Arabidopsis thaliana: one gene and its partners. The protein of the gene in region 1 interacts with the protein of each later gene in a pairwise test. Each region holds a gene or a part of one and is shown in the gene's direction. Other genes may lie near its edges. The genes, in order: NAC012, AT2G28200, HTA13 and MYB105.

Region 1 (8,249 bases):
ACGCGATTATTTGTGCTGAAGGATTATATATTCAAAATGATCTAGTTATATATGTCACATGATTGCCGTTAACAAGACACATTTGAAGAAGCTAAGCAAGAAAAACGGACACTTTTGCGACTTGTTACATAATTTAACTTATAGGTCAAAAGAATTTGATTAGTCATTGCAACTACGTGTGGATGTCACTTTCTATTCAACCAAAACTCACAATATTATATGATCTAGTTTTGTCGTATTACTGATTTGTATTATAAAATGTTATTTAATTTGAATTCTACGTAGATATTGCTCATGCATGATAGTATGTATCTAAACTATTCAAATAACTAACTACGTGGATATTTTATAATCCAAGTAAAAAGCAGAAAGTGGGTAACTACGTCAGTATGACTATACTTTTATCGGAATTGCTTGACATCCAAACTTTTGCTATGCTTCACCAACCAATGCAGTTTCACTTAATTATTAACTATTGACTATGTCTTATTAAGTTAGCACTAATTCGTTAATCATTCAAAACGTTATTTGATTGAATTACATATTACACTCTCTTTCTGCATCACCACTCACACCATATGCAACTATAACCAACTCATCACATTCAAATGTATTAATTGGATTTTGGTGCGAGATTAAAAATTGAAAGGAAACAAAATATGATAATGGGATAAAATCTTGAACGGAAACTCAAACTAATCCTCATAAGGTATAACAAAATAACAATTTAAGCTAAGCACAACAACATACAAGTTCGACCTTTTCCTTTGATGATCCAGCCCAACAGTTCTCTTATATCTCAAACCATTCGACCATTTGAGCCAAACTAGCTAAACCTGCAGGAATCAAAACCAACAAAGATTCAGATTAGCTAAACCGGTTTCATCCCTTTGTCACATGACTCACATCCGTCTTCTACATAACGATTTCTAATGATGTGAGCTCTTAACTTGCTCCAGCAAGATCATCAACTTTGGAGCACCTTCAATGATTTAGTTAACATGTTAGATAAATTAAATATTCTTGTTTCAATATATATCAACTTTAGTGTAAAAGCCTTAACATTCTCTTGAATATTTAATTTATTTCTCCTTATTTCGATTTAATGACAAATGTGAATTAATTTTTGTGATATTTTTGTTCGAAATTAGTTTTCAGTTAATAACATACATGTGAGCATGGGACACACATGATTTAACAAAAGGGAATGACGAAATGATATATCAAAATATTAGTATGGGAACAAATTACGAGGTGAAACTTCACACTCAACTCAATTAAAACTAGAATAAAGAAATGGAAAAAGTGAAAGAATGAGAGGTCAAATGTGGTTAATCATTATGTGGTATTAGTTAATCCATCAATTGTGTACCCAAAAGCATGATTAAGCATAGAATTTAGAGAAACAAAACATCATTATTAATGTTGAAACACAAAGATCCCATCAACAGACAAATGATAAGTACAGTGCATGTAGGGTAACAACTTTTATGTACATGTTATATACTTATATTATATAATAAGAAAACGATTAAAGTGTCATTGCTCCAGCCTCTATTTGTAAATCATATTATATCAGTATGCTTAATTCCAATAATTAAGTCCATAACTAAAATATATACACATATATGTATGTTAAATGGTTGAATATATACATATATTTTCATAAACAAATATTGCTAATTAATTCAGTTATTTGTGTACATAATCCAACTATCACCTTTTTAGCTGGAAGTGGATATTCCAACATGTCAGTCTGTCACTCCCACATTCATACTCTCTATTCTTTTTAGCTATTTCAATATCTACGGTTAAATATTAATGGCTATATAGCCTTACCCTTCATTTTAGTTTTTTTTTGGTATTCGCATAACCATCGAATACTCAAACTTACTATGTAAGATGGTCTGAATAACTATTTCCGATTTAAGATGAATAGCTAGATTGAAATATACATGCACTAATTGGACATGCACTAAAGGCAGAGGTGAATTAAATGATGAAATGAAGATGAAGTGTCACACTTGTGCAAAAAGCATGTCCCCTGCTCTTCTCCGCTTGTTTCAATTTCTTTGACTTTCATCACGTTTTTGTCACTTAAATACACCAAAAAATATAGTACAATTAAACATCGAAAATCGTCCAAAAAGAAGAAAAAAAATCATGGAAAGTTCTTTCGTTAATGTTACACACATTATCTTGATTAGGTGACACCAGATATTAGAATAAAAATGATAGATTATGAAAAGAAAAAAAAAATTGATGTATTTTTAGGATACATCGAAAGGAATGAACATACCAAAAACATGGGAAAAAATAGATAACTAATTAACATGGTAGAATGTAGATGACGTAGATCATGAAACGAGTGTGTGATATATTAATGAAAATTATTTTAATATACGTAGCTATATTAGAAAATAATTTACATTTATTTTCTTCTAAACAAATCTATACTTTATATTTACATACATTAGTAAAGACCAAAACACATGGAATTCAAATTCTGCAATAAGTAATTGCAAGAAAACACAAAGATTAATCCCCCACTAAACCCGTTTATTTACGTTAGTATTTTTCCGTTTTATACATTACACATGACATGACATTACACGTCAAAAGAAATATGTCTTACGTCAGAACTTACGTATGATCAAACTCGATTTAAACATAGAAACATCTGTTTACTAAATTATACTAATTTCATAAAGACACTTTAATGCATGAACTTCTTTGTTTAAATAACAATTTCCCCCTTTTGGGGGCTATGTCTCGTCGAGTCCTACCACCATTATAAATTATCTCATCGTTTGCTTTCTTTTTTTTAAGTTGTAACCATTTCCACTCGTAATCATACAACTTCTCTACTCTTCTAGAGCAAAAACCCAAAAATATATTGCTATCTTCGTTAATGGCTGATAATAAGGTCAATCTTTCGATTAATGGACAATCAAAAGTGCCTCCAGGTTTCAGATTCCATCCCACCGAAGAAGAACTTCTCCATTACTATCTCCGTAAGAAAGTTAACTCTCAAAAGATCGATCTTGATGTCATTCGTGAAGTTGATCTAAACAAGCTTGAGCCTTGGGATATTCAAGGTTAAACCCTAAATATGAAAAAAAACTCTTTCATTTCTACGAACTCTCTATTTCTTTGTTCTTTATTTTTGAACCATTTTGGTATGCAAATGCAGAGGAATGTAGAATCGGTTCAACGCCACAAAACGACTGGTACTTCTTCAGCCACAAGGACAAGAAGTATCCAACCGGGACCAGGACGAACCGGGCAACAGTCGCTGGATTCTGGAAAGCTACCGGACGTGACAAAATCATCTGCAGTTGTGTCCGGAGAATTGGACTGAGGAAGACACTCGTGTTCTACAAAGGAAGAGCTCCTCACGGTCAGAAATCCGACTGGATCATGCATGAGTATCGCCTCGACGATACTCCAATGTCTAATGTAAGTATATATAGCAATCATCAATTTGCAGTTTAGGTTAGAATAAACAAATTACAAACTTATAGTCAAAGAATTAGCTAGATTCGTTTCATGCTATAAAAGGTTTTGGTTCATTTAGTACGCACTAGAGCCTTCTTTTAGCATCTGCAATTAAAGTAATCGAACATGATTCTCTGAGTTACAATAAGATAATTTCTTATGAAATTAACACATCATATATACATTTATATAAAAAGATTTTTTCACAAGGCTTAAAATAGTTTAACACGGCTCTACAAACAATACGTAGTTAACTAGTTATGGTTGCATATCCAAAAGAAAAACCAACATAAAAGATTTTTTTTTTTGTTTCAAAATAAAAGTTGCATTTTTACATCATCAAGATTTAATCATCTCTTATTGCATTTCATAAGATCGATTTGTGTTCCATTATCAGGGCTATGCTGATGTTGTTACAGAAGATCCAATGAGCTATAACGAAGAAGGTTGGGTGGTATGTCGAGTGTTCAGGAAGAAGAACTATCAAAAGATTGACGATTGTCCTAAAATCACTCTATCTTCTTTACCTGATGACACGGAGGAAGAGAAGGGGCCCACCTTTCACAACACTCAAAACGTTACCGGTTTAGACCATGTTCTTCTCTACATGGACCGTACCGGTTCTAACATTTGCATGCCCGAGAGCCAAACAACGACTCAACATCAAGATGATGTCTTATTCATGCAACTCCCAAGTCTTGAGACACCTAAATCCGAGAGCCCGGTCGACCAAAGTTTCCTGACTCCAAGCAAACTCGATTTCTCTCCCGTTCAAGAGAAGATAACCGAAAGACCGGTTTGCAGCAACTGGGCTAGTCTTGACCGGCTCGTAGCTTGGCAATTGAACAATGGTCATCATAATCCGTGTCATCGTAAGAGTTTTGATGAAGAAGAAGAAAATGGTGATACTATGATGCAGCGATGGGATCTTCATTGGAATAATGATGATAATGTTGATCTTTGGAGTAGTTTCACTGAGTCTTCTTCGTCTTTAGACCCACTTCTTCATTTATCTGTATGATTATCTATACATACACATACACAAAATATAAAATAAAGTTTGTTAAAAAATGTCTCATGTTCTATTGATAGTACGTCTTGATTTTGGGGTTTAACATTTGTTAATGGTGGAGGGTAATTTTTTTATAATATTTATAATCATAAAATTTACGAAGTTAAAGAATGATATTATATACAAAACTTGAATAACGACTCTTTCAATTGCTTACTAAGCTATTTTAGAAGTCATTACATTTAGTTCTTTATCTTTGACTATTAAAGCTAAAAGATGTCCAAAAAAAAAAAAAGCTAAATGGTAGAACTTTTCACATCCCTCATCTTTCATTCTACATTTCTTACATGCCCACTATTGAATTTGAATCCAAATTATGATACGAAGATTGCCATATTTGTACAACCACGAGAATATATGTTTATCGCTTAAATCTTTTGTATTTGCGAATCATAAAGCCCATAGGCCATAGTGAGAGTTAATATTCGGTAAATTTGTACTTTGGTTCAAACGCACATGGTGAATCCGTATTTTATAAAAAACTTTCTAAATTAATAATGAGTTAATGACAGAACTATGATGTATATGTTAATTTATAGTAATATTATTTTTTCTATAAATTTCAAATCTCAAATTTTTTAATTGTATTATCATTTAATATTTTATCTTAAAACTAATTTGAAAAATATGAGTAGAGAAAATTGATCTTAAAAAAGTTTACTGGTTTGGATATTATAAATTTTATAGTTCCAACTTGAACATTTTGATATTTAAAATAAAAATCTTTTGATGGTGAATTAGAAAGTCTATACTCTATAGAATTCACTTATGCAAAAGATATATATATATATATATATATATTAAATTAAAAATAAAAATCTTTTGATGGTGAATTAGAAAGATATATATAGTCTATTGAAATGAAATGATACATATTCGAAATTAAAATTAAAGATTCTTAGATTAAAATAAAAAACTGAAAGAAGTTTTGGCTATTTTGATGACGAAGTTATAGACGATACTAGTTAATACTATATTTTGAAAACACAACAAAAATAGAGATGAAATCTAACGTCAACTTTTATTTATTTATTAAACAGCTAAAACTAATACATTAATATATTTTGAAAAATTATTACTATTTTATACATCTGAATTTTTTTATTTTACAATATTCCTATTCCAGGAATGTTTTATAATATTTCTTAATTTTGTGAATATTAATTTATATGTTTTACTGTATAAAAAACTAGCATATAACACGGCTATTTTTATTAGTTTATCTGGATAAAGTATCATTGTCATTTTGATGAAGGACTTGTATAATGAATGAAGTGATACTTATTTTGACTTTCATCTAAGTAAAGTGTACCAAATAATAACGCAGCGTAATAAGATTCTCGCTTCGCTATAATTACTTCACCTTTTGGTGCAACTATGTTATTTTTTCATTTTCGTTGGAAAATCCTCATGTCGTTTTTCTTGTGCAAATACGACAATCCAATTACCACTTATCAAATTACGTAACCAATAGTTTTTTTTTGTTTTTCTTTTAATTTTCTGACTAATATTACTAAAAAAATAGTGATGTTATCGAGAAAAGTGTAGAAGTAAGCATATTGGAACACACAAAAATGTCTGAATATAGTTAATTATACGGATCAAGAATCTCGTTAAACGCAAGATAATGGATCCAACTTGGCTCGATTAATGAATTGGAACAATGTCACTAATGAAAGAGGCTACAAGACACGATTCAGTTAAATGCAGTATGACAGTGCATTGTCTTCAAATTGTATATACGGAGACTTGCATTGGGAGATTGAACATTAGCTTGATACTTCAGCATGTCGATGGAAAACATAGCCATCAACATTTTAGCAATCGAAGTCCGAGTGAGCTGATTAAATTTGAAAAGGGCATGGGACATTATATTGTAGGTGGTAAAGCAACCATATACTTCAACCTTAAGTTGTTTCTTATTTTTGCTTGATAAAAATAACAAACCATATATACATCATTTCCCTTCCAATACACTAACAAAGTAACAAAAATAATTAAGATGCTTAAAAAATAAATATTATTACAGGAATTATAACATTCTTATGAATTTTAATTCCTTCTTTTTTGAAAGAGAAATTTGTCTAAAAGATTTGAAAGAGAAACCTAAAAATTTCCATTCAAGATAATTTAAGGGAAACAAAAATTATGAACAAAATTTTACCTAAATTAATATTAATCTATTTTTAAATATTTGTTTTAAATTTCTCAAATATTTTCAGAAAATATATTATTTTCCCAACTAACTTGTAATTTTCAGTAACTACAAATTAAGGAACCCGTTTATACATTCACTGTGAAAAATGTCGTTGAATTTCCCTACAATTACTATTTTTTACAACAAAATAAATTGAGGGTCATAATTCTGTCTATGATCCGAAATTATTGATTCTGGAAAATAATTTGAAACAAACAGATGGTAAGTCATAATCTCACAAACTTTTGTCTATATTGACTCTTTTTTCCAAAATAAAAGAGTTGTTAAATAGTTTTCAAACGTTTTGACAAAAAAATAAAATAATAGTTTTCAAACTTTCTGATTAGGACTAACATTAGCCTATCTATGAAAGCAATCTCAAATTTGGGTTATGCCGACAGATATTCATCACACAGCCTCTTGACAAATATTCGACCACATATCTTCGACTTTATACATTATAACCTGTATAAATTAACATTGTCAGACACAAACAATTTTATGCTCTAATTTGATAATTGTTGTTAAAACCTATGTTTTATTGCCTTTTAAAAATATTTGAAAAATAAAATTGTTGGCTAGTGATTTACATTTGAAATGTGTATTTTTTTTCTATGGGTATAACCGTATAGCATAGCCTACAGGGAAGAGATCGATTCTTTTCAAGAGTCTGATTTTTTTTTTTTTTTTACTTCGTACGTTGACCACCCATAAACATCTTTAACGGCAAAAAAATAATACACGGAATCTATGGGCCATGAGGATTAATTTGGGTTTTGGCCTAAGATTCAAAATTGTTACCAGAAAAAAATATATTAAGTAGTCATAATTTACAACTTACACGGACTAAATAAATTATATCAAACAAAAACCATAAAATTGACATAATGTATATTAATCACTAATGTTCTTTTACTTCAAATAAATGATGTAAAGATTTTTAAAGGCATATCAAATCACTTAGCTATCGCTTTTTTTATCCCTTACAGAAATGACATTAGTATCCACAAGTGATGAATAATTGAAATCACTTTTGTATGTTCATCCTTGGTCAATTTCAAGCAGACTTGTGCGTTCGGAACAAGGTTTCTATGCAAAAGGCTCAAAATGGAGTTCAATACTTCAATTAGTCTCCTGATCTGGTTTTCACATCAATACTCAACTAATTCGTCTTGATTTTGTAGGAGCTAAAATTAGCAAACATTACGTAAAGGCAATTGAAATCAAAATCACAAACATTAAGGAAAGAACATGAGATGAGACGAGTTGATGAACTCTTCCCTTAACCTTTTAAATCACCCGTAGTGTGACAGTTTCTGTGTGATTTAAGGATCTCAGGATACAACCTCTATAAACTGATTTTGCATCACTCGAAACTCAACTCTAACGAAAATAGTTACTACGATACTCTCGAGACTTACTTTTAACAGAAAGAGATTGTTGGAGCTTTTGCTATTGCTATTTGTGTGTAACTATCAAAGA
Region 2 (8,219 bases), on another chromosome or scaffold:
ACGGATCTTAATATTCTTTGATTAAAACCTAACACATCTTAACAAAAAGTGAAAGCTTTTTGCTTTTGACAAATCAAGCAATGGTATTTTAGATGACTTTATATATTTTAAGTTTGATTTATCATTAGGTTACAACTAATAAATGATTTTTTTATAAGAGCCACATATAAACTAAGATAGAATTATACTATTTGTTATGGGAATTGAGAGGAAAACAACAACCTGCAAGTGAAGTAAAGCAAGCGAAAGAGTGGGTTGGATCCGGTTTTGTAGAAATAAGATCTTTTGGTTAATCCTAACTTGGAAGCTATGTCACATGTAATGCCAGACTCATACCAACCAATTAAAATTAGATAAAATAATTATGAAAAACTAGAAAGGAGTTGGCTGTTATTTAGAAATAAAATATTTATACCATAACTTACTGTAGATTTTTCAAAATCGTTTAAATTTTTATAACGATTGTTTAGACGCGAAAAGAAAATAAAAATTACAAAGACTAACCAACTGTGTAAAATCTGTAATCAGTAGCCTAAACTCGTCTTGGCCGTCGAAATAAACTAGTAGTATTGAGCATTTACATGCGATTAAATATAGTTGTTTCTAAACCTATTTTTCTCGAAAAAAATGTTTTTTAAGCATATATTTAGAAAAATAAGTGGAATGAGTTGTGTAATTGGTTGGATGATACAACTAAAGATGCGGCGGCGGTGCATCTTAACCCTTACGTGCCTCACACTTCCTTCTCCTTTGTCTTCTTACGCTAAGTATTTCTTTCTCTCTCTGTTTTGCTAACTTACATTATTCTTGTATACTAGTATCTTCAACATTGTACGTCATATTTATCTATTTCTTTGTTCTTTCATTATTTCAGTCTTATTTTTATTTTGTTCTTAATCAAAAAGACTTCGACTAGACAATAGACATTGGTGAGTTTAAACTTCTACGTATAGTTTGTTAAACCATAAAACGTAGGTATATAGAAGGACGCCACGAACTCAATTATTGTTAAAACAAATAAGTTCTTAAATATGAATTCCGGCTCTAAAACATGTATTGATCTAGATTACTATATTTGAAGAATGAGTGGAATAAAAATTGTTTTCTCCATTTATCTATGTGTTAGATTTTTATTCTATTAATTCTAGCTAGTAGCTAGTGATGACATTTTACTAAAAGTTTACTGAAAAATTCAAAAATTCAGTATATATATGTAACATGAAAATAAATGATAGTATAGAATAGTTTTTTACGTTGCTTTGATCCTTGAGCATGTGATAAATTGACATGCGTATAACTATTAGTTGCAAACCTAAACTCACTTTAATTTAATTATTTTAAAAATAAGAAACACTAAATAGGAGTATATATATATGTTTGGTTAAATATCATCCATTATTTTTGGAAGAATCTCGTCATGCCATGTATAGTTTAGCTTAGACAAATTTTATAACGCCATGTATACCTTACCTTAGCTTGGGACAAAAAAATCAAACCGAAATAACTGAACCGAACCGAAGTACCTTACCTTAGGTGAATCAATTAGCACGTATAGTTTAGAAGATTCTTATCTAACGCCATCTTTTATATTTAATTTTTGTTCTTTCGACCAACTCTAAGGATGTTTGGTTATGATAATATAAAAGCGCAAACAACTTGATGGATAAATTCAAATGGATGAATTACCCATGGTCGATGCAAAAGCGCCGGTAAAGTTGTTAAAACTATCAACCATAAGCTCGTTCCCATCCACTGTGTTTCGAGTGCTGATCTTATTTGGGAATGAGTCCATCCTTATCCCTTGTTTAAGATCTTTAAATTCATAATCACTTGGTTTCGTCCTAGCTATTTTTCCACTTGCTTTATTTTTTTTATGTTTTTTTTAGCAAAAACGGCTTTTTCTTCTTATAATAATTTTTATAGAGCTATAGTCTATACGTTGTACCATATTTTAACATTTCACCAAATGTACTAATTAAAACAGAGAAATCCAATTTATGTAAAATTATAGAGAGGATACTAATTTATGTTTTAGGAAATATAACGCGGTGAGTAAAAAACTAATTGCTTTTAGCCACACATCTGTTGGTGTCGTTGCTTTACGCAACATCATGCATCTCTTCTATTGTCTCCTAATTTTTTATTTACTGTTTTTTTTTCTTGTTTATGATTAGCAACCAAATCATTTCAATTATTTCCTCATTATGTATCTAAACATGTATACGTAATGAGTACATGGTTGTGTATCGTCTCGACTGTAAAACTGAAACCGATATAATTAGTTTTGTTAGGACCACTAAATACATAATGGTTTTAATATGAATATGCATGTGTGAGTGTATCTATTAAATTGTTGTGCAAAGGATGTGAGGGCCACTTTAAGTACAAGACAATAAGGTTTGGAATAGCCCAACGTGATTAAGAGTAACTTCTTCCAATCATTTCATCGTGTTATAGAATTATTGCGCCTAATCAAATCTTTATTAATAAAAATAACTAGGTCCTTTCTTTTATACTATAGCTTAACGGTAGCATTTATATGGTACGACTTACTAATAAGTCTAATTTCTCTATCAAGATTAAATTTTAATACTTGCGGCTATAGAAAAAGTAAATATAATGCAAAATCGTAATCATTTAATTGGTATAAATTGGTATATTCCAGTGGCAAGTTGTAACACTTTTTAGTTGCATACACATACATCAATACAAAAACAAACATGAGTATTTATAGTCCATAGTGGCACACATATTATATATGGGAGCAGCAATCCCTATGTAAAGTCAAAATGTTGCATGAAATTAGCAAAATATTACGGTGAAGGAAAGAAGTGATGGGTTTTGTGTATGTAACATACTTGCATCCCACACATAACCGTTCCTTAGCCCAAAAATTATGTTATATATATCCACTTGAAAATTTATATAAATTTCTATACCATTTGTCTTAAGAGAATATTTTTTAATATAATTATTATTCCTTCAAAAATGAATTTACTCTAACATTTCTTTTCCAATTTGAAGTAAAGACAATTATATTTTTCTAGTCAAAATCCATATTTAGATCCTATAAAAATATTTATTATGAAAAATATAAACCAAAATTTGATTGTAAAATTAAAGTAAGTGATATGATTATCATACTAATATTTAGAAGTGGTTAAAAATAAATATATTTTATTATTATTCTTCTTTCTTTTTCTTTTCTTTTTTTTTGACAGGGATTTTTGTTTTTTAAAAAGAGTCCTTGACAAGGATTTTGTGGTGTGGTTTAGCCACTATGCATTATACCTTATGCATAGATATGGGTTCAAGCCTCAATCTCCCACTGTGAGACTTTGAAAGTATGTTGACAAAAAAAGGTGTATAATTTTTCCAGAATAAATTATTTTAATCTAGTTTGCCTAGCTAAATTAAATAATTATTTTGAGGTCCCTAAACTTCATAATTTTCCGGTCTCTCAATCTTGACATAACTTATTCTCTGTCTATAGTTTTTTTTTTTTTGAACTTTTCTCTATAGATTACTTATTCTATAATCTATAAAGTATTATTTTTGGATGTACCGTGTAAACTCGTTTTAATGGTTAGTTGTCACTTGTCCATACAAAAATGTAACATTCCAATATTTGACAATAAAGTAATGTTACATAAAAAATTTCTATAATTTGAGTATGTTTTTTTTTTTTTTTTGTCGGCCTATAATTTGAGTATGTTAATTAATCTCAATTGTAAAAATAGATCTCTAATTATCTTAAAACTGTTTCCAGTCTTAAGATTAGTAGATAACCAATTGAGCACTAGCTTTCAACTCTCTCTACAAATGTTAATCAAGATATGATTAAAAAATGAGAGAAAAAAAAAAGTCGTGGTGTTGTCTCTTCACATTAACAAAGACTAAGCTTAATATTGTTTTTAGCCTAACATGCCACCGATGAATGCACCTAATCCTATAAACACCGGCCACTGCATGTCGCCTCCTAATTATGAACCATGTATGTCTGTGAATCATTATTTCCCTTTGATAATCTTATTAGTATATTTCAAAACATTTAATCAAAAGTTTTCTTGTAGTCGTCACGACCATTAATAATATGTAATATATTCTTTTTATTTGCTGTCGTGAACATTTTTATCTTTAGTTCTATCTATTTCGGTTCTCATTGAAAGCGTCGATTTGATGACGTGGACCTAAAGTGCGTGAAAGTAAAACCTTTGCTTTGTCCTTAGAACTGAATGTTCACACTCCCAAAAATTAAATTCGAAACTAAATAAATAAAAACAAATAACAAAAACGTGAATTGGTGGCCTAAGTGCCACTCAACACTACTAATGAACCTTTGCCTAATTCAGTGGTTAACTCTTCACGGGTTTCACTTTCCCTTTTATTTCTCCTACTTTTGCTTGAAACAATATTAATCATTTTCACTCGGAATTAATAACAATTCTCTGTTAATTATGGAATATGAATGATTCAAGAGTTTGATTAATCACACCAATTGATATTAATATGTTTGTTATTAGAAAGTATGTACTAGAAGAAGCTGTCTAATACAATACTAATAAATGAAAAAACGTCATGAAGGGTTGACTTCTGGTATATAGATCTAGGTAGAGATCAGATTTTGAAGATATGGATTAAAAGTAGATACAACAGAACAGAAACTAGAAAAGAAGAAAAATTATTTACATGTCATATTTTTTTCATCATTGAATTATAAATTTGTTGATTGATTTTATTGTTATGGAATTTGGCAGAGAAAACGCAGAAGTGTCAGGTAATGGGTATAGAGTGAACCGTCAAAATGTTATTGGTTAGCTAAAAACATTATAATAATGTAAAGTGGATCGATGTGTAAAATCTTTTGTGGAGTAAACTAAAAAGATTAACAACCACCAAACTTATAACCTCTCTCTTTTTTTTTCCGATAAATATATATATAAGCAGCCCCACCATCGTCTTCTTCACTGCCTCTCTTCTCTCTTCTCTTCTGTCTCTCTCTTGTTAGTTCACTCCACATAATAAACACCAAAGATTTCATTCTCTTCTCCATAATTTCGAAGTTTCTTGAATTGGGTTTGTTTCTTGATTTGTTTCTTGAATTGGGTTTTGGTCTTCTTTTCTTACTATATTTGGATATGATGATGGGTCAAGATGAGGTTGGGAGTGATCAGACGCAAATCATAAAAGGGAAACGTACGAAGCGACAAAGATCGTCTTCGACGTTTGTGGTGACGGCGGCGACAACAGTGACTTCAACAAGTTCATCGGCCGGTGGAAGTGGAGGAGAAAGAGCTGTTTCAGATGAATACAACTCGGCGGTTTCGTCTCCGGTGACTACTGATTGTACGCAAGAAGAAGAAGACATGGCGATTTGTCTCATCATGTTAGCTCGTGGGACAGTTCTTCCATCGCCGGATCTCAAGAACTCGAGAAAAATTCATCAGAAGATTTCGTCGGAGAATTCTAGTTTCTATGTGTACGAGTGTAAAACGTGTAACCGGACGTTTTCGTCGTTCCAAGCACTTGGTGGACACAGAGCGAGCCACAAGAAGCCGAGGACGTCGACTGAGGAAAAGACTAGACTACCCCTGACGCAACCCAAGTCTAGTGCATCAGAAGAAGGGCAAAACAGTCATTTCAAAGTTTCCGGCTCAGCCCTAGCTTCACAGGCAAGTAACATCATCAACAAGGCAAACAAAGTACACGAGTGTTCCATCTGCGGTTCTGAGTTCACTTCCGGGCAAGCTCTCGGTGGTCACATGAGGCGGCACAGGACAGCCGTAACCACGATTAGCCCCGTTGCAGCCACCGCAGAAGTAAGCAGAAACAGTACAGAGGAAGAGATTGAGATCAATATAGGCCGTTCGATGGAACAGCAGAGGAAATATCTACCGTTGGATCTTAATCTACCAGCACCAGAAGATGATCTAAGAGAGTCAAAGTTTCAAGGGATAGTATTCTCAGCAACACCAGCGTTAATAGATTGTCATTACTAGTTGTTTTTTTTACTACATAATATGATGAAATATTTGTGAATTCTTCTTACTTACTACTATATTGTTGATCATTGGAATTATTTTTTTTTTAAATTGAATCAAATATTATCATTTTTAAGAAAAGAGGAAAATGAAATGTGCAAGTTATAATGAAAGAGAGGAATATAGTGGGAGTTAAGTAAAGGGTTGTGTGATAGTTAGATGATCTACTTGTTGAAGTAAGAATAGTTTGAGTAAGCAAGTGGTTAGTGTTCATGGTTGCCTTTCATTCACGAAAAGTAAGTGACTTCCAAGGCATCTTTTCTTTCCCTCTTTTTAAGGTATTTTTTTGTTATTTTTATTTTATTTAACAAAATTTGCAAATTATGAATTACTAAAATTGTTTTTTTTCTTGAACATGTGAAGCAACTATTTGTATTACTTGAAGACGCCTCTTTTCCCACGATTACTTAGATTCTCCGTTTGCAGCCAAACGCTGTATCGTGGTGTGGTGTTCTGCGTTGGCAACAAAATATGTCATAGCATAAACTATCTAGAAAAAAAGATTAGGAAAATATTTCCAATATAAATCAACTTTTTGGTCATATGGGTAACGTATGACTTTGGAAGACGAGAGTTCAAACTTTCTTTCTGCAATTTTTAACTATGATAAGTTACTGTAGACGTCTAGAGTGACAAAACTATTTGATTTTATAAGGTTATGGAGATTAGTTTGGACTTTTGGTCCAATAGACATATATGTTGGTCCCTTTAAAAGTGTGACAATAAAATATCTGATTTTAATAGTTTCAATTTTTATTATTTAAGATTAAACTTAGAATACACCTGATTATTAGAAAAGAAAACTCTAATAAAATATCTAACTATTTTTGTTACTTTGCAGAGATAATAATAATGTCTCTGTTACGACTTTATGCTATAAGGACCAATGCTAGTTTGAGAATTTCCTCATCATTCTCATTTCATTACCATTTTGTATATACGAGTTTGAATTCATATTTTCAAAAAAAGAAAATTTTAGAAAAACATTATCATGTAAAATTATTGTGAATTGATACAAAAATAATAAATAAATAGAAAGGCAGTGGACACGAGATGGACGTGGTGATGACCGGCTTAGGGTTTGGCAAGAGAATCACAACCACAACTAAATAGACGTGGATTAGGTTCTTCTTTGGTTTTGGGTTGTTATTTTTTCTGGTCACCACATTTACACTTTTATAAATATATGAATTATTTTAATCAATTATGACAGACTAACAATTATTATAACAGAACAGAAAAAGAAAAAAGAGCAGAAATCAAATAATTAAAGAAAGGAAAAAGATAAACAGTGACAGCAGAAACAGTCACAAGATTCACTCACCGCTTCACTCCTTGCTTCCAGTCCTTCTCTTTTAGGATTATTCTTGCTGTTGTATCCATGATCCAACTTTTATTCTTGCAATTATTTTATAATTATTCTTGTTCTCTCATGATCTGAATTTCTTTATACAACTTCTATTTTTAGGAATTTATTTTATAGATTAGTGAAAAAACTATAGAGCTACAATGAAACTAAAGGTGGATACCATTGACTCTCATGATTCGCTAAATCACTAATATTCATATATATGTAATATATATTTGTGGTCAAGATATCAAATGTATATATAAAAACCCAAGTCAGAAAAATATATCAAATGTATATATAAGTAGGTGTCATTTACATAACTATAACTACTAAAAGCGATACTTTTTCATACTGATCCACAAGTCCAATAGTACTCGAGTCTAAATATGATTGTAGTATTATTTTTACTCTTAAGTATCACACTCTTTTCCACTAACATTTTTTTTTTTTCACATTTTTGGTGAGTCGAAATGTTCGATTAGCATACTAGTCGACGGTTATGTTTATCTAGAATTATTAATAGAAACACATTTCTTTCTACAGAAATATATACAACTTCTAGTGTGAATTTAACTATTTTGATTAAGGTCTCTGATTGTATTTTGATTTATCCTACAATAATTTACTTACTATTGTTCGATTTAGCATTGCATTGGATATTTGTAAGCTAAGAAAGCAGTGTTTTTGGAGTCTAGCATCTAGGCTCCTCCATGTGGAAGCAGCTTTTAAAGCTAAGACCCTTGGCCAAAACCTTTCTCTCTTCCAAAGTGGGTGACGGTAAATCATGCTCCTTTTGGTATGATGATAGGACTCATTTTGGTATGATA
Region 3 (7,440 bases), on another chromosome or scaffold:
TGCAATGGTCCCATACTCTCATGGCAAAAACCATAAAAACATGGAAGTAATTTAGTCTGTGTAAGAAGGAGGAATAGTTTTGGATTTGCAAGCGTATACACTATACAGTATGAATTTTTTTTGTCAAAAAATGAATTCATCCCACGCTTGGAGGTGGATTCAACGTTAATGGAGCCTCTCCTGTTGCTGAAGATGTTAAGCCTCCTCCGGTTCTAGGGAGAGTATGAGAATCCATCATTTCATAACAAATAAGTCGTTTCCTCATTATTTAGCAAGCAAAATTGGTTCAATCTTCACTTTCCGATTAACTTCTTTGTTTCTCTTGCAAGCAATATTGGTTTGTATTTACCGTGCATTACAATGCTTATTGTTTGTGGTAGTAAAATCAATGTTATCTCTGTTAACATGTACCACCATTTCAAGACCCATAGACTTTAATGCAAAATCAATGTTATCTCTGTTAAAGCGAAGAAACATGTAAGACTACAAAAACAATTCGACATTTCAAAAACACCTATTTTCTAAGATCTTGACTTGTGTCTCTCCATGTCTAAGTGTAAATTCTGTTTCTTTTAACATATTACTTCTCCTCTTTCTCTGTTACTCTCACTCTCAGCTTCGTGCATCCCAAACATTGTATCATACAACGGCTTGTTTAACGTCTCTGGCAAGTAAAACGCAAGCCCACCTCCCACTAACCCGCAAACCGCAAACACCCCAAAAGGTAACTCTTCCCCTAAAACCACCACAAACGGCGCCAGAATCGCTCCCATTTGAGCTGCTTGAGTCGCACAACCCAATGCCGCGTTCCTCACCACTGTTGGAAACAGCTCCGCGATGTATATGAACAGAAGATTGTACGTTCCTGCCATCCCGAATATCCCTAAAACCCCTGACACCATTCTAACTGATTTCCATGGACCAGCTCCCCATACAGAGAATCCAACGAGGCAGAAAACGCAGCTGAACCACTGTGTCCCTATGGACAGCGGTTTCCTCCCGTACTTGTCTAGTAAAACCGCGGTTATAGCAAATGCCGGCATTTCCGACACCGCGTTGACAAAGACGTTGAGGTAAAGATTGGTCTTGAGGTTGCCTACGTTGAGGCTTAGTCCGTAGTATACAATAGAGACTGTGAAACTTATGGCAACCGAAATGACAAGTCTCATCCGCATGAGAGGCGACAGTATAACATCTTTCAGCGAACCCTCAACAGCGGTATTCCTCTCCCCGTTGTTATTTTCCACATCGTCGTCTAAAGCAAGAGTGACACCAGCTGGAATGTGACGTCCGTTCGTTTTAGCGATCGAATGCATCAGCTTCATCGCCTCATCTACTTTGCCTCTCACGAGATACCACCTTGGGGACTCGGATATGAATGGGATAACAATGAGTAGGAACAAGAGAGATGGTAACGATGACACTATAAAAAGCTCCCTCCACGATCTGAAAACGTAAGCGATGCCGGATAAAACTGCAATGCCCGCGGAGAAGAAGTAGAAAGTTGACATTCCGGCTACACCGCGTTTGCTCGGTCCAATGGGTTCAGTGGCTAAGACAAACGCGGTTAGGCCAACACCACCGGTGCTGAAACCAGTCAAGAAACGGAGAACTACATAGGTCCAGTAGTTTGGGGAGAAAGCTGTCGCGATACCAAAGATTGCGTTGATAATGCATACAACTGTTAGCGAGCCTTTTCTTCCTAGCTTAGAGTCCGATAAATGTCCGAATACTCCTGCACCTGCACATTATTGAGTCGGTACACTATCATTAGGCCATGTTTGTAAGTTGTAATTAGAAAATGTAATCAGAAAAAGGTATACAGTAGTTAAACTTTGGTTAAAGACTTATCAAAGATTTGGTAAGTTCATCGGGACCATAACGCATGTATGGTCTACATAAAGTTGTTTTTTGAGATATGTTGGACCAATGTTTCACAATCTTTTTTTGTTGACATGAAAACGATATCTTCAACCATGGAAGATGACGTCTTCATGCCAGTTACATGTAAAATTTTTGACTAGTATGCAACTCTAATTGGATATTCCTTCGTATATCCTATTCATTGTATAATGTGTATCAAATGTAGAGATTGGATAATCCAGAGCCAAACTGTCCTTTTTTATAAAGTAATCTAAACATTAGCCAAAATAAGGCAAACAACTGTTGGTTTTTCTATTATTTAGGTGGGTCATATTATAATGATCATTTTGTTTGTTTGTTTGTGCAATTATACATGTAGTTAAGATGTTTTTGGCCTCGTTTGTGTCAAATGTGAACGTGAATGTTGTTAGCATCATTCATTAATATCATCATATAAACGCTAACGAATACTGTGTTAACCAAGACCATAAGTAGATGTAAAAACAATTACGGGATGTCAAACATATTTCAAACTTTCATCAATAAGTATAGTTCAAATTTTTTTTTTAAAGTAATGAAATGATGTGGATGAACTTATGTTTTTACGACAAAAGAATCATGATTTAAGTCTGAAGCGTATAACCCAATGTTTATTTGCAGACAAGGCCAGAGGGGCAAGCCATGCCGCGAGAGATTTGTGTGTTTCGACTTTACAGATCAATGCAACGAATTAAGAAGGAATTTTATAACTTTAAACCAAAAAAGCGAACAAGATAATATATAATGTGATCAACTCGTTAGTCAGTCACACGTATATTATACATTTTTTTTGGGTCATTTTAGTAGTTTTGTTTTCTTTTTTTGGCACCAATCATACCTATCAAAGTCTATCTTTTCTTCTTCGCCAATCATTTTTTTTACGTGTGTAAACTTGGACCGCCTAATGGGTTAAAATTTTAAAGCATTATCATCCAAAATTTATAATATACTATAGAAATGAAAGGTATATCGGAAAAAAAGTGAGGTATATCTTTACTCTATAGTGTTATTTTCTAAAATTCGGATAATCATAAAAGATTCATGTGATCAAGGCACGTGGTACGAATATCCAGATTCAAGCCAACGTGCCCATTGATCTGCTCTTACTAATTTATTGGTGCGATCGATATACACTAGCTAAGTTATGCACACAACTAACAACTAATTTATTGTTTGTTGATATATTCATTAATTATCGGATAATCACGTAAAGAGCTAAATCCACTAAATTACAAGTTCATAATTTTAGAATGATTTTTTTTTTTGTCTTATCGAATTAGATAAGACACTCAGAAACTATACTAAACTCCTAATTATGTATTTATTTATTTTTCTTAAGAAGATAATCCAAGATTAGAGTTTAATCTTCTTTTTTTGACTGTAATTAGAAAAACTATTCGACGTGAAAAAAATCATTTTCACGCTACAGCTGTAATTTACTGTTTTTGTAATTTTCCTAAATCACAAAAAAAATATAGAAGGGAAAAAAAAAACTTACCGATCATGCAGCCGGCGAAGAAGAGAGCCTGAACAAGACCAACTTTATACTTGTCGCCGCAAATCAATCCCCACTCCGACACCGTGGAGCTCCCTTTACCCGCCGTCCATTCCCAAGAACTCGGATCCAACTCGCAGTTCAATGACCCGACCCGACAATCCGACCCGACGCATCTCCACTCGGGTTCTTGATCGGCAAATATCATCACCATCGTGTGGAACGCCTCTAAAGCCCAAGCAATACACGTCAACACGAAGTGTTTCAACTGCCACCTCCCAAACTCGCCGCAATATCTTTGTAACATCTCATCTATGCATAATCTCTCCTCTCCCTCCGCTTCTTTCTTCACCGGAATTTTCTCTAGCAGCGGTTGTCGGACATCGTTACCGTTTCTATCCTCCGGAGATTCCATAATTTATGTTTTGATTTTTACAGTGTTTTTGTTTTTGTGTTTGTGTTTTTGTTTAAAAGGCGTTCTTGATTTGGTTTGACGCGAAGAAGGAGGTGGCTTCTTTGTCGTATTTATATCTCTTGTTTATCGGAAAACAATTTTTCCTTCTTTTTTTCTCTAGCGTTTTTTATTCTCTTTTGATTTAGTAACTATTTTTTTTTGTTGACGATATTGACTACATGCTCTGCTTATATATATTTTAACTATGTCATGTTATTAACGTTTATGAGTTGTCACTTTGAAAATTAGTAAGACACATCATGTATTATTTCTCAAATTAGTATTGTACATTTCATTTCAAAGTCAAAAACACATGATTCTATATATGGTTGATTACCTAATGTGTAATCGTGAATTAGTAATTAATACGACATGCTAAAAATTGATTAATCATGTTTAGAAAAATATATACTATGATAAACCTGAAATTGTGTCACACAATTTTGATGAATGTATATACCACATTTCCATATTATACGTTTTAAAAGTAAGATTTTCATAAATTTTAAAATTATTCATAACATTCACTAAAATTAGATGTGTATAATTAACAAACTAAAAATATCATTAATCTACTATTTTAGTAGTTATTTTGCGAAAATATGTTTGAGTTACAAAATATTTTCACTATTTAAATCATGTCGATTATACCCACTGAAGGGTATTTCCGTCAATCCCAATTCTAACAATGAATTCAGGAGTATAAAAACGTAAATTCAAGCGTGCCAATTATAAACCGTCGATCATAATCTAATCCAACGGCAGTAACATCGATCCGCGTGATTGTTTATTATTGGATAAGAATCACTCAACCGTCTCTACACAGTATATATAATAACCAAAGAGCGTCCTCTTACGCTTATCTTAATTTCCCTCGCATTGAGAATTTTCAACTTTTTCTATCTCTCTTCCCAAATCACAAATGGCGGGTCGCGGCAAAACTCTCGGATCTGGCGTTGCTAAGAAATCAACATCGAGAAGCAGCAAAGCCGGTCTCCAATTCCCCGTTGGTCGTATCGCTCGTTTTCTAAAGAACGGCAAGTACGCAACACGTGTTGGTGCCGGAGCTCCGGTTTACTTAGCCGCCGTTCTCGAATACCTCGCCGCTGAGGTAATTATCCCCTTCTCTCCCTATATCTCTTTACTCTTTCGATCTTCAATTTCGTAAAACCCTAATTTCTAAATTGGATCTGTTGTGTTGTAGGTATTGGAATTGGCTGGAAACGCAGCTAGGGATAACAAGAAGACTAGGATTGTGCCACGTCACATTCAGCTCGCGGTGAGAAACGATGAGGAGCTGAGTAAACTGCTTGGAGATGTGACGATTGCTAATGGAGGTGTGATGCCTAACATTCACAGTCTTCTTCTTCCCAAGAAAGCTGGTGCTTCAAAACCTTCCGCTGATGAAGATTAGATTAGGGATTTGTGTTGTGGTTGTTTAGCTAATTAATGTGTAGCTTAGTCTTTCATTAGATTAGATCTGAATTAGTTTTCATTAATGGTGTTGTGTAGTCTCTCTTTTGCTTCAAAAACAAGTATTAAAATCTTATTATTTTGAATTGAATCCACAATCAATACACATTGAAGTCCTAACAAACTACTTCTTCCCAGTGATATTTGAAACCAAATCACTAAGAAACTTAGCTGATTTGGTAATAGGAGAATTCATAGCCATCAAGTTATACAGAACAAGCTCAACTTCTTCGATTGATGGTCGAGAATTGAATTGTGAAACAACTTTCAAAGTACCATTACCTTCTTCTTCTTCAACGAGAACATTCCATCTTTCTCCACTCACAACACCGTCTCTTACACACTTAAAGATCACTCCTTTTCTCTTACTAAACACTCCTCTCACTTCTAAGCCAGTGAACGCATAAATCACTTCAAAGGAACCAATAAAGCCATCTCCAAAGCTTTTCTCTTCTTCAAACAACCATCTCGGATTGATCATTACTACAGGTTTTGTAGAAAAAGCTTCACTCGCGGTCTTAACATCCTCCAGCTGCGATTTCTCCGGAGCCATGAAGATCGCCACGTCAGCAGATCTCAGAGCTGTTTTAAGAGAGTCTGAGACCGGAGACATGGCAATGTGGTGGATAGAGTCTGACCGGAAAGCTTTAACGGCGGGATCGATGAATGAAGGGTTAGGCCAGAGGAAGAGAAGCTTGACATTAGAGCCTCTTCTCGAGATGGGTAAGTCATGAAAGATCGAGAAAGCGAGCTGAGAGAGTGACGAAGGAGAATCATCGTCAAGGATTGGGATTTCAAGACGGAATCTTGGTTGTTTGAGCTTCCTGAGTTTTGGGGAAGCGAGTTTTGGGTTGTTTAAGGGTTTGATGAGACATGAAAGGAGACAAGTTTTGGCTTGATTAATGGCTTCTTCTTTGGAAAGGGGAGGAGAAGAAGAAGAAGGTGAAGGAAGAGAGGAACAGAGAGGAGCGAATAAACGAGTAGTGGTTGATTTGTGGTTGAGCTTTGAATGCTGTTGTGAGAGTGATTTGGAGAAATGAAGATGGAAAATTCTGGAATTGGGAGGAGATAACGAAGGAGGAGATGGGTTTAGAGCTTTGAATGTCTGTGAATTGAGTTTGAAGAGAGTCGAAGAAGCCATGGCTGATCTCTGATGATGAGGAAGAGAAGAGAAAGAGGATAAGGTTGTTCAAAACTTCAAATAAGAAATGAGACAAAACCGATCGAGTTACATAAACGAAAATTTGATTTCGGTTTGGGTCGGTTTATATAACCAAACCGAAAATAAAGTAAACAAAACAAAGGAATTGCTTAAACAAAAGTACCTTGCTCGTCACTTGTTGTCTCTCTGTTTTGTAATTTGATAACTTATAAATCTTCATTATATAATTGCATAAAGAGATGAGAAACAAATTAATATTAAAATAAGATGAAAGCAAGAAGACTAATTCATAGGTCTGGTTAACTTGATTTGAATAAAACTTGGAGCATAAGAACACATAGGACCTGGTGTGCATAGAGAGTCACCGAGACCCACTGTTTTGAGACTACTTCACAGAACTTGGTACATAAGAGCACACAAGACGGCAAAGTGGTTGATATAGAGGTTCACGGAGATCCGCTCTTCTGAAATAACCATTCTCTCCAACGATGTAAGCTATGTGGACAGTGGATTTGAGCCCCTCTGTCTCCTCTTTATTAAAAAACACTACGACTTTCTCTTCATCATAAATCAAGTATCCCTCAGTCAGAAAAAATCTTGGTGTGTTATCAACTTTTAAGAACTTGCTCCACGAGACTTCATCGGGCTCAATCTTGTTCGTAACCCAAATATCGATCTCAGATTTGCCACCCCGCCACCGCTTTACTAACACCGCAAGCTTCTCTTCTCTTACCACATATAGACTCCCCAAAAATTCATCGATGAAGGGTTGAGGTAGAGGCAGACGCGGTCCGAATCTCTCTCTAGTAAAATCAAAGCATATTAAATAACAATCTTCTGATCTTCTATCTTTAGCATACCAGTAAGTATTTCCCTTCAAAGACACGCCATCTTGCATAAACGCTATATCCCATTTAAGAGGGAAACTAGAAACCATCCGTGAATTAGACCTCA
Region 4 (7,870 bases), about 14 Mb from region 1:
CAACTTTCTAAGAAAGATGAAGAAGCCTATTGCAAAAGCAGCAGCAACAATGGTAAGGAAAAAAGAAGAATCCATTAGCATAAGACTGAGAGAGGATCAAGATCAACAGAGATTTTTTACTTCTCAGCAAAGCTATACGAAGGATGAATGAACAAAGATGGATTTGTGATACATTATTGAACACATTATCTTGACTCCATTGACTCAACGCTACAGTAAGTCAATAGCAAGCTTCACGGATGTTTACTTTTGTGTGGTCGACAAGGAATTGAGAAAAAAATATAATGTATATAGATCAGATTAATACGTTATGGGCTCAATGGGCTTGTATAATTAATGGACTATCTAATTATGCTAAGCCTTTTAATGAAAAAAAGTATAACAAAAGGAGGGGTTTTGGATTTTGGTACATTGGTTTCGATGAAATCAATCCAGAATGTGGCGAACCGGTTTACCATTGTGGATGAGAACCGGAATCTGAACCGGTTCGTAGAATCTTGTTCGTTCTCTTCTTCTCGTATAAACAATTGATGAAAACTGAAATACATTTTAGAAGCGGATCGGAGTCGTTGATCACGCTGGAGTCTATTCGGGAACCTACGATGAGGATTACGTCGCTTCTGTTGGTTGCAGCGCTGAAGGAATTTGTAGAGAAAATCAATTGCGGAAGAGGAAGGAGAGAAGCAGCAACGATGAGGATGATGATAAACACTATGGGCTTTTAATGTGTAATGTATGCTTTTAGGCCCAAAATAACCCAATAATAGACACTAGGATTTATTTATCAAAGTGTAACATTATGGGCTTTTATGTGTAATGTGTGCCGTAATGTATTTTTTCTTATTTGCGATGAGAGTACATCATATTTGAATGACAAATTGATTTCGATGCGATTTGAGTGTGGTTAGAAAACCAAATTACCAAATTAGTCTAGTTATATTATTTTTTGTATTTTCAATTTACATAATAATATAAAACAGTACTTGAATTTAATTTATAATATAAAACATTACTTGAATATTTGAAAAGCAATACATAAATATCACAGAGAAATTAATTAGTAAAATTAGAATTAATTTTTGTGTTTAAAATGAAAGAAACTAATAATGGTAATTAATTAATATTGTTTAAATTAATAAGAAAGAAAATTAGTCTCATTGAAGGACTTTGCTCAGCCTCTTTGCTTAAACTTATTCTCCTTATGCTTCTTCAATTTTTGGTACGGATTATCAGCTTGCTTATTCCAACAATTTATTCACAATTTCATGCAAATATCTATTGCCGATCGAATACTGAAACTTTGGAATGTTGTCGGTAAAAATTATAACCTCTCTAGACCAGGTTGAAAAAAATGTTGCAAAAAAATGTATAATCTAGGTGAAAACTTTAAAGAAGGCTAAAATTTCTTGCTCCTTTACGTGACAACTCATATACGTAGTTCTGTATTTGAATGTAATGAATGAGGCCACAACATCTATAGTGTTGATTGAAGGTACGGTTTTACATTTTTTGTTGGTTGTGTTGGTGATGATTTGAGGAGAAAAAGGTTATAAAATTTCCCAAAATAGAGCAATGGGGCTATGATAATAGACAGGTCATTATATTTAGGGAATTCGTTTCCCATATTTGAGAGATTGTTACTATTTGGTTAGCTTTCACATCATGAGGTTTTTGTTGACTCTAAGAACAGTGAGTCTTCTTCGTGTACATGTCCACATTGTTTTTAAAAAAATCCTCCTGTTTCAGTCTCTTGTTCATTTATGCGATCATCACTTGTTTTCCTGTTTTAATGTCCAATCCACCATGTTGTATAGTTTTTTCGGTCGGTTCGAAATCATCCTAAACCAAAAGCAGGTTGAATCCAATCAAATGAAACGTACTAAACTCGATTTTAGCGAAAGCTAGTTGAAAACTCTTAACTTTAAGTATAAAAACTTACAAGACACTTTTGTAACCTATGGAATTTGGGAACTCTAAACTAGTCTATGAAGTTTGTAGAATAATTCCATAGTTTTGTTTTTTAAAATCTCCGTATTATATTTTGATGAGGCTTTGTGCCTAGTAAGACCCAAAGCTAGTCTATTAAACTAGCTATTGCCTATGTTGGCTATGTCACTATGTGCTCCGAAATGATCGATGTATAATTGAGCAATGTGCGTGTGTTTAGGTATAGTAAAATGAGGAGCAGAGCATGCACGTACGTGTTGTTGAATTGATGGAACATGGTACGCTATAAAATCAGTTCGTGGTGTCGCATATTTGAAAATGAACCACAGTAGACTCGCAAAACATTTCTCTGTTGATATGAATTGGATCCTATGCATTAATTTCTGAATCTGTTTCCTTTCCCGACATTATATATTGTATATGTTCCACATTTAAAACTGAAAATTCAATTCTAATAATTCTATCCCCTACAGTTATTGAAACAGACGTCACCAAAAAAATCAACACCTTTTTTTAATGGCTTTTTATAAACGAACCCCGAAAACTTGTAAAAATAAAATAAAAAATACTTGTTAACTTAAATAAGTAGATAACATATACTTTTTTTTCTTTTCAAATGATAACAAAATAAAAGTGAAGGTAATTGGGTTGGGTGTAGATATCCTTAATTAACCTGCTAATGGTTAGTGTTACTTTGTTAGTGCGTATCTTTGAAAAAGTAACTATCCATTCTCACATCTACTGTATGACACAAATTTAGTGTAAATTAAGAAAGTATATATTCAAAGTTATTGACCAAGAAAAAAGGACCATAGGAAATGTTGAGTTAATCTCTGCAGATGGACCGTACAAGTCTGCAGCAAATACTCTGAATCTGAGATAATGTATTCCTCTGCCAATTGATATCTTTTTGGTCAAATAAATACATCTACGTTATGCTTAAAGTCTCACCAAACCTAGGTATTTCCTTTGTATATATGGGATAATATATGTTTCGTATATGCATTTATAGCTGCACAATTAATTAATAATAAAAAAAGAAATACTTTACATTCTTTTTTAAAATTGCATTATGGTGTTATGAATATTCATATTGCGACAGAAATTCTAACGATAATAACTTAATAAGTCTAGCCGATCCCTTAAAAAAATGATTTATAACAGCGAATTCTGCGACATATGGTTGGATAGTTAATTTTAAAATCAGTAAATGGTAGAATTGATATGGCAACAAGTAGTCAAGACTATATGAAAAACGGACTCGTTTGGGAAGATCATTAACATTCACATTATGAAGAGACCGGCTATGTACGTAGAAAGAGGGTTTCATATAAACCATCAAAATGTCGAGAGTGAGAGATAAATGGGGATTGGTGAAAAGACATGTGAAGTGTGCGTGAGAGATATAATTGTGGTTAGAAAATAAAAGACGCAAGAGTCAAATCAAATGTATGCTTTGAGCCTTTTTGGCTGTTATAGTTGGGACTACTTCAGATGTTTAGTTTCATCCTCATTACTATTTCCAATTTTCGGTAGCAACCAACAACAACAACAAAATCATTAATTATTTTTTTAAAAAAAAAAGATTCTGTAAATTGTAGGTTTCTTTGTAAAGGAAAAACAAATAAACAACCAATTTGTGATGGTTTAGTGGTTAATTCAAATTGGTTGTGAGATAGAATTCAAAACTTTGATAATGCATGAGCAGTGACCACTATGAATGTATTAAATGACAAGAATACCTAACGCTTAATTCATATGTATCAAGCGGAAAATAGTTAAAACTTGGGGTGAAATCGCCTTGTTACTTGAACAAAAAAGAAAAAGAAGAAGATCATATTCATAGTTCGAAATTCAAACAAGATAATACCAAGATTTTGTTTGGCAAGCAATCGTAGAATAATATGATGTTTTGTTTGGGGCAACAAAGAACAAAAGCAGTTGAACTAAAAAAAAAGATGTTTACGGATGTTTAACAACTTTTCATCTCTCTCCACTTTTCCAAACACATCTCCACTGCTCACAACGTAGGAAACGTGTTCCCTGTCCTTTACTCTTTCTCTGTCCTAGCATTTTTATTTATTTCTTTCATCTCTATACGTTTCCACATTCCTAGTTTTTTCAAAATTAAGTAGTGACAATTATTGTGAAAATGTTATTGGATTTTATTGTAAATGTAGATTATAGCTATTTGGTTATAACTTAAACCAGAGATAATAATACTATTTATACAATAATCCTAAATTAAAATATCTAGAATGTAAATTAAACTGAGTGTTGAAAACAATTTACAATGCATAAATACAAATGTATAGAAATATATATCAGCTTTCAAATCAGTCCGTGACAGTCCATGAACCTTTTAACAGTTGTATAACAGCATTTTGTCAGAAAACAAGGTCACAACATATACATACACGCACATAGCTTAGAGCCATACGTAATAATATCACACAAATATCAATTATGATGTTCAAAGTCATATTTAATATTTGCTCTTCTCCTCCAATGAGGATGGAGATGGTGCATGCTGACGTGGCGTCTCTCTCCATAACACCTTGCTTCCCGTCTTCTTTGTCTTCGTCCTCACATCATCACTATAACCAACAACAACATTGTATCATGTCGGAAGATCAACACCATTCGATGGATCAGACCACTTCATCGGACTACTTCTCTTTAAATATCGACAATGCTCAACATCTCCGTAGCTACTACACAAGTCATAGAGAAGAAGACATGAACCCTAATCTAAGTGATTACAGTAATTGCAACAAGAAAGACACAACAGTCTATAGAAGCTGTGGACACTCGTCAAAAGCTTCGGTGTCTAGAGGACATTGGAGACCAGCTGAAGATACTAAGCTCAAAGAACTAGTCGCCGTCTACGGTCCACAAAACTGGAACCTCATAGCTGAGAAGCTCCAAGGAAGATCCGGTACGTTAATTCTGTCACTTGATTAAGCTTTTACAAGATTCACGTTCTTGAGATTTTGGGTGTTAATGTTGAGCAGGGAAAAGCTGTAGGCTTCGATGGTTTAACCAACTAGACCCAAGGATAAATAGAAGAGCCTTCACTGAGGAAGAAGAAGAGAGGCTAATGCAAGCTCATAGGCTTTATGGTAACAAATGGGCGATGATAGCGAGGCTTTTCCCTGGTAGGACTGATAATTCTGTGAAGAACCATTGGCATGTTATAATGGCTCGCAAGTTTAGGGAACAATCTTCTTCTTACCGTAGGAGGAAGACGATGGTTTCTCTTAAGCCACTCATTAACCCTAATCCTCACATTTTCAATGATTTTGACCCTACCCGGTTAGCTTTGACCCACCTTGCTAGTAGTGACCATAAGCAGCTTATGTTACCAGTTCCTTGCTTCCCAGGTTTGAGTTTTTGTGTTCTCTTTTCTTTCAGTTTTTAATTCCATATCATTTCTTAATTTTCTTCCATTTTTTGTACTATTTAGGTTATGATCATGAAAATGAGAGTCCATTAATGGTGGATATGTTCGAAACCCAAATGATGGTTGGCGATTACATTGCATGGACACAAGAGGCAACTACATTCGATTTCTTAAACCAAACCGGGAAGAGTGAGATATTTGAAAGAATCAATGAGGAGAAGAAACCACCATTTTTCGATTTTCTTGGGTTGGGGACGGTGTGATCATCATCGATCATGAACAAGACTGGCTTGAGTTAGTTAACAAAAGTTATGAGATGATTTGAGTCCTTGTCGATGTAGTTATGTTGCGTTAATAATTGTAGATTAAATGTTGTTGTCCTTAGTCACATGCAACATTCCTTACCCCGTGTTAATTAGCACGTACATATATACCACTCGTTGGTTAAAATCAATGCTTTCATTTATGTAGATGCCAAATTGTCTCACCTTTACCAAAATTGATTTGAAGTGTAAAACATTTGTACCACTTTATAGTTCTAACTAACTCTTATCTTATATGAAAATGTCAGATTCCGTCATTAATGTCCAAAAATTGTATGGAGTGAGAGTAACAACATGCTTCGTATATGAAGAGGAAGGTGACATATGTTAAAACAGGGACGATGATGTGGATATAAGAAACGACAAAGAACGATAGAGAAGTCAAATTAAAAGGAATAATGTACTACATTGTATTTATTTGGAGTATGCAGAAGTTTAATAACAACATGCGATATTGATGAGGTTGCAAGATTCAGGCACAGATTCTGCAACAGAAAGTCCAAACATCCACTCTTTAATATTCTCACACCCATTGCATTTTTTTATTCTCTCCAAAGCAAAAACATATTTTCATTTCATTGCCCCTTACTTATGCGTCTCATCGACCTCATGTCACCCACATGGCCCCTTCTCCTAGTTATTGTTCATTGTAATAATCATTTGATTTGTATCATGATACTATTTGTATACGTCATTGTAGTTTTAGTCCAGCTTAACACATTTCTATGACTAAATCGAAATAATTGATTGATTTATGAAATTAAGATTAAATTTATGTAATACCGTTTTTCACTAAACACTTCCCGTTGTTAATTGTTTTTTTTTAAGGTTCCATAAGATCCACAAGAAAAGGATAAAACGGTAAGGAGTGTGCAATGTGCACCACTTAAAATCTATTGCTATTCCAGGCTTAGGCCCATTCTCGGACCCAATTTCAGTTTTGTTTGGAAGTGTTTCAACTTTTTCTTTTTTTATGTTAACCGATGTGATTCAATTTCTCGAGCGAGAGAGTACCAATATAGAATGAATATCTCAATTTTGTTTCTAATTTATTAGATGTTCTTAAAACGATAAGTGAAAAGCAATAACGTATATATTGGTTGATTAAAATTTAAATCAAAACGTCGAAAACAGATAAGTGTTGAAGTAAATATCAAACCAAAACCTCTATCAAAGGAACATTCATGTTAATGTAGTTCCTTATGTAATCCAATAATTAAATATTCATGACTTTTTCTTTTTCTTTTATTATTCAAAAAGAAAACAATTTTTTCTGTTTGTTTCCTTAAAAAAGCTGAACTACTTTACGAGAACATATACGTATGGTCCAGGTGAAAGCTGAGTGGCCTCCTACAAAGTCTACCTAACTTTATTCCTTTCTTTCACATTTAAGAAATCTATTTCATAACTTTAGTCTTTAGTCGTATGATAATAATGATTCCAGTTAATAAATCATTTGCAATTTTTATGATGACTAGACCTTGGTAACGAATTTTCCAAAACCCTTCTATATGTTTGAGCTACCGATGTTGCGTATGGTTTTAAGTATTTGCTCTCCAAGTACATTTCTATTCTTTATTCTTTCTCTCCACTCGAGCACCTCAAACTTTTGTGTTCCTTCGGTATCCATTGTTAAAAATGAGAACTCACCAACAACTTAGAACAGTCTTCCGGTTTGGGAAAAGAACATGCGTAGCCTCCCTGCTTATTCTTTAAACGTAACTGGATTTTAAGCTTTTTGTGCAGCTAAAAGAACCAGTCTTTATGGACCTTTAATTTTCACATATTTGTAGAGCTCAAAAACAAATAAAACATTTATTTACTTTTTGTGGAAGAATAGTATATGAGATCAACTATATAACATGAACTTGGGTTGCCTCTCAAAATGTGATATGCTATAATTCTATTAAATTATTAGACAATCGAAAGATTTAAATGCTGACAGTTTAACAAGTAATATTTTTGTTGTTTTAAAGTTTTGTAATCTGCATTTAAGTCTCATTTGAAAGGACATTATATTTACGTTTCATGATCATGGAAGACTCGAAAGTATTAACAAAGATTGGTGTCAAATCTCAAATGATTATGATCCAAATCTTGGAATTACATGGTTATAAAAATAGGTATAGAGCAACAAGCTAAGTATCCATACTAATAAGTAGAAACATTACAACATATCAAGTAATAATCAAAATGA

Evidence for each region.
Region 2: the proteins of NAC012 (region 1) and AT2G28200 interact in a two-hybrid assay, tested with the Arabidopsis thaliana proteins (one large-scale study listed by BioGRID).
Region 3: the proteins of NAC012 (region 1) and HTA13 interact in a two-hybrid assay, tested with the Arabidopsis thaliana proteins (one large-scale study listed by BioGRID).
Region 4: the proteins of NAC012 (region 1) and MYB105 interact in a two-hybrid assay, tested with the Arabidopsis thaliana proteins (one large-scale study listed by BioGRID).

Annotation. Positions count from the first base shown.
Region 1 is NC_003070.9:11,861,613-11,869,861, reverse strand, and holds NAC012 (NAC domain containing protein 12), read left to right. Parts: upstream 1-2,707; 5' UTR 2,708-2,911; coding exon 2,912-3,098; intron 3,099-3,193; coding exon 3,194-3,459; intron 3,460-3,895; coding exon 3,896-4,519; 3' UTR 4,520-4,633; downstream 4,634-8,249. UniProt on the Arabidopsis thaliana protein: Transcriptional activator of genes involved in biosynthesis of secondary walls. Together with NST1, required for the secondary cell wall thickening and lignification of sclerenchymatous fibers and secondary xylem vessels (tracheary elements).
Region 2 is NC_003071.7:12,019,183-12,027,401, forward strand, and holds AT2G28200 (C2H2-type zinc finger family protein), read left to right. Parts: upstream 1-4,757; 5' UTR 4,758-5,138; coding exon 5,139-5,999; 3' UTR 6,000-6,188; downstream 6,189-8,219. UniProt on the Arabidopsis thaliana protein: Probable transcription factor that may be involved in stress responses.
Region 3 is NC_003074.8:7,224,699-7,232,138, forward strand, and holds HTA13 (histone H2A 13), read left to right. Parts: upstream 1-4,691; 5' UTR 4,692-4,773; coding exon 4,774-4,962; intron 4,963-5,055; coding exon 5,056-5,265; 3' UTR 5,266-5,448; downstream 5,449-7,440. Other genes in the region: OCT4 (organic cation/carnitine transporter4), read right to left, coding at 573-1,741, 3,401-3,812; AT3G20680 (plant/protein (DUF1995)), read right to left, coding at 5,449-6,465; AT3G20690 (F-box and associated interaction domains-containing protein), read right to left, coding at 6,872-7,440.
Region 4 is NC_003070.9:26,153,294-26,161,163, forward strand, and holds MYB105 (myb domain protein 105), read left to right. Parts: upstream 1-4,408; 5' UTR 4,409-4,413; coding exon 4,414-4,885; intron 4,886-4,961; coding exon 4,962-5,330; intron 5,331-5,413; coding exon 5,414-5,613; 3' UTR 5,614-5,801; downstream 5,802-7,870. Other genes in the region: AT1G69550 (disease resistance protein (TIR-NBS-LRR class)), read right to left, coding at 1-81. UniProt on the Arabidopsis thaliana protein: Probable transcription factor that involved in boundary specification, meristem initiation and maintenance, and organ patterning. Functions in both lateral organ separation and axillary meristem formation.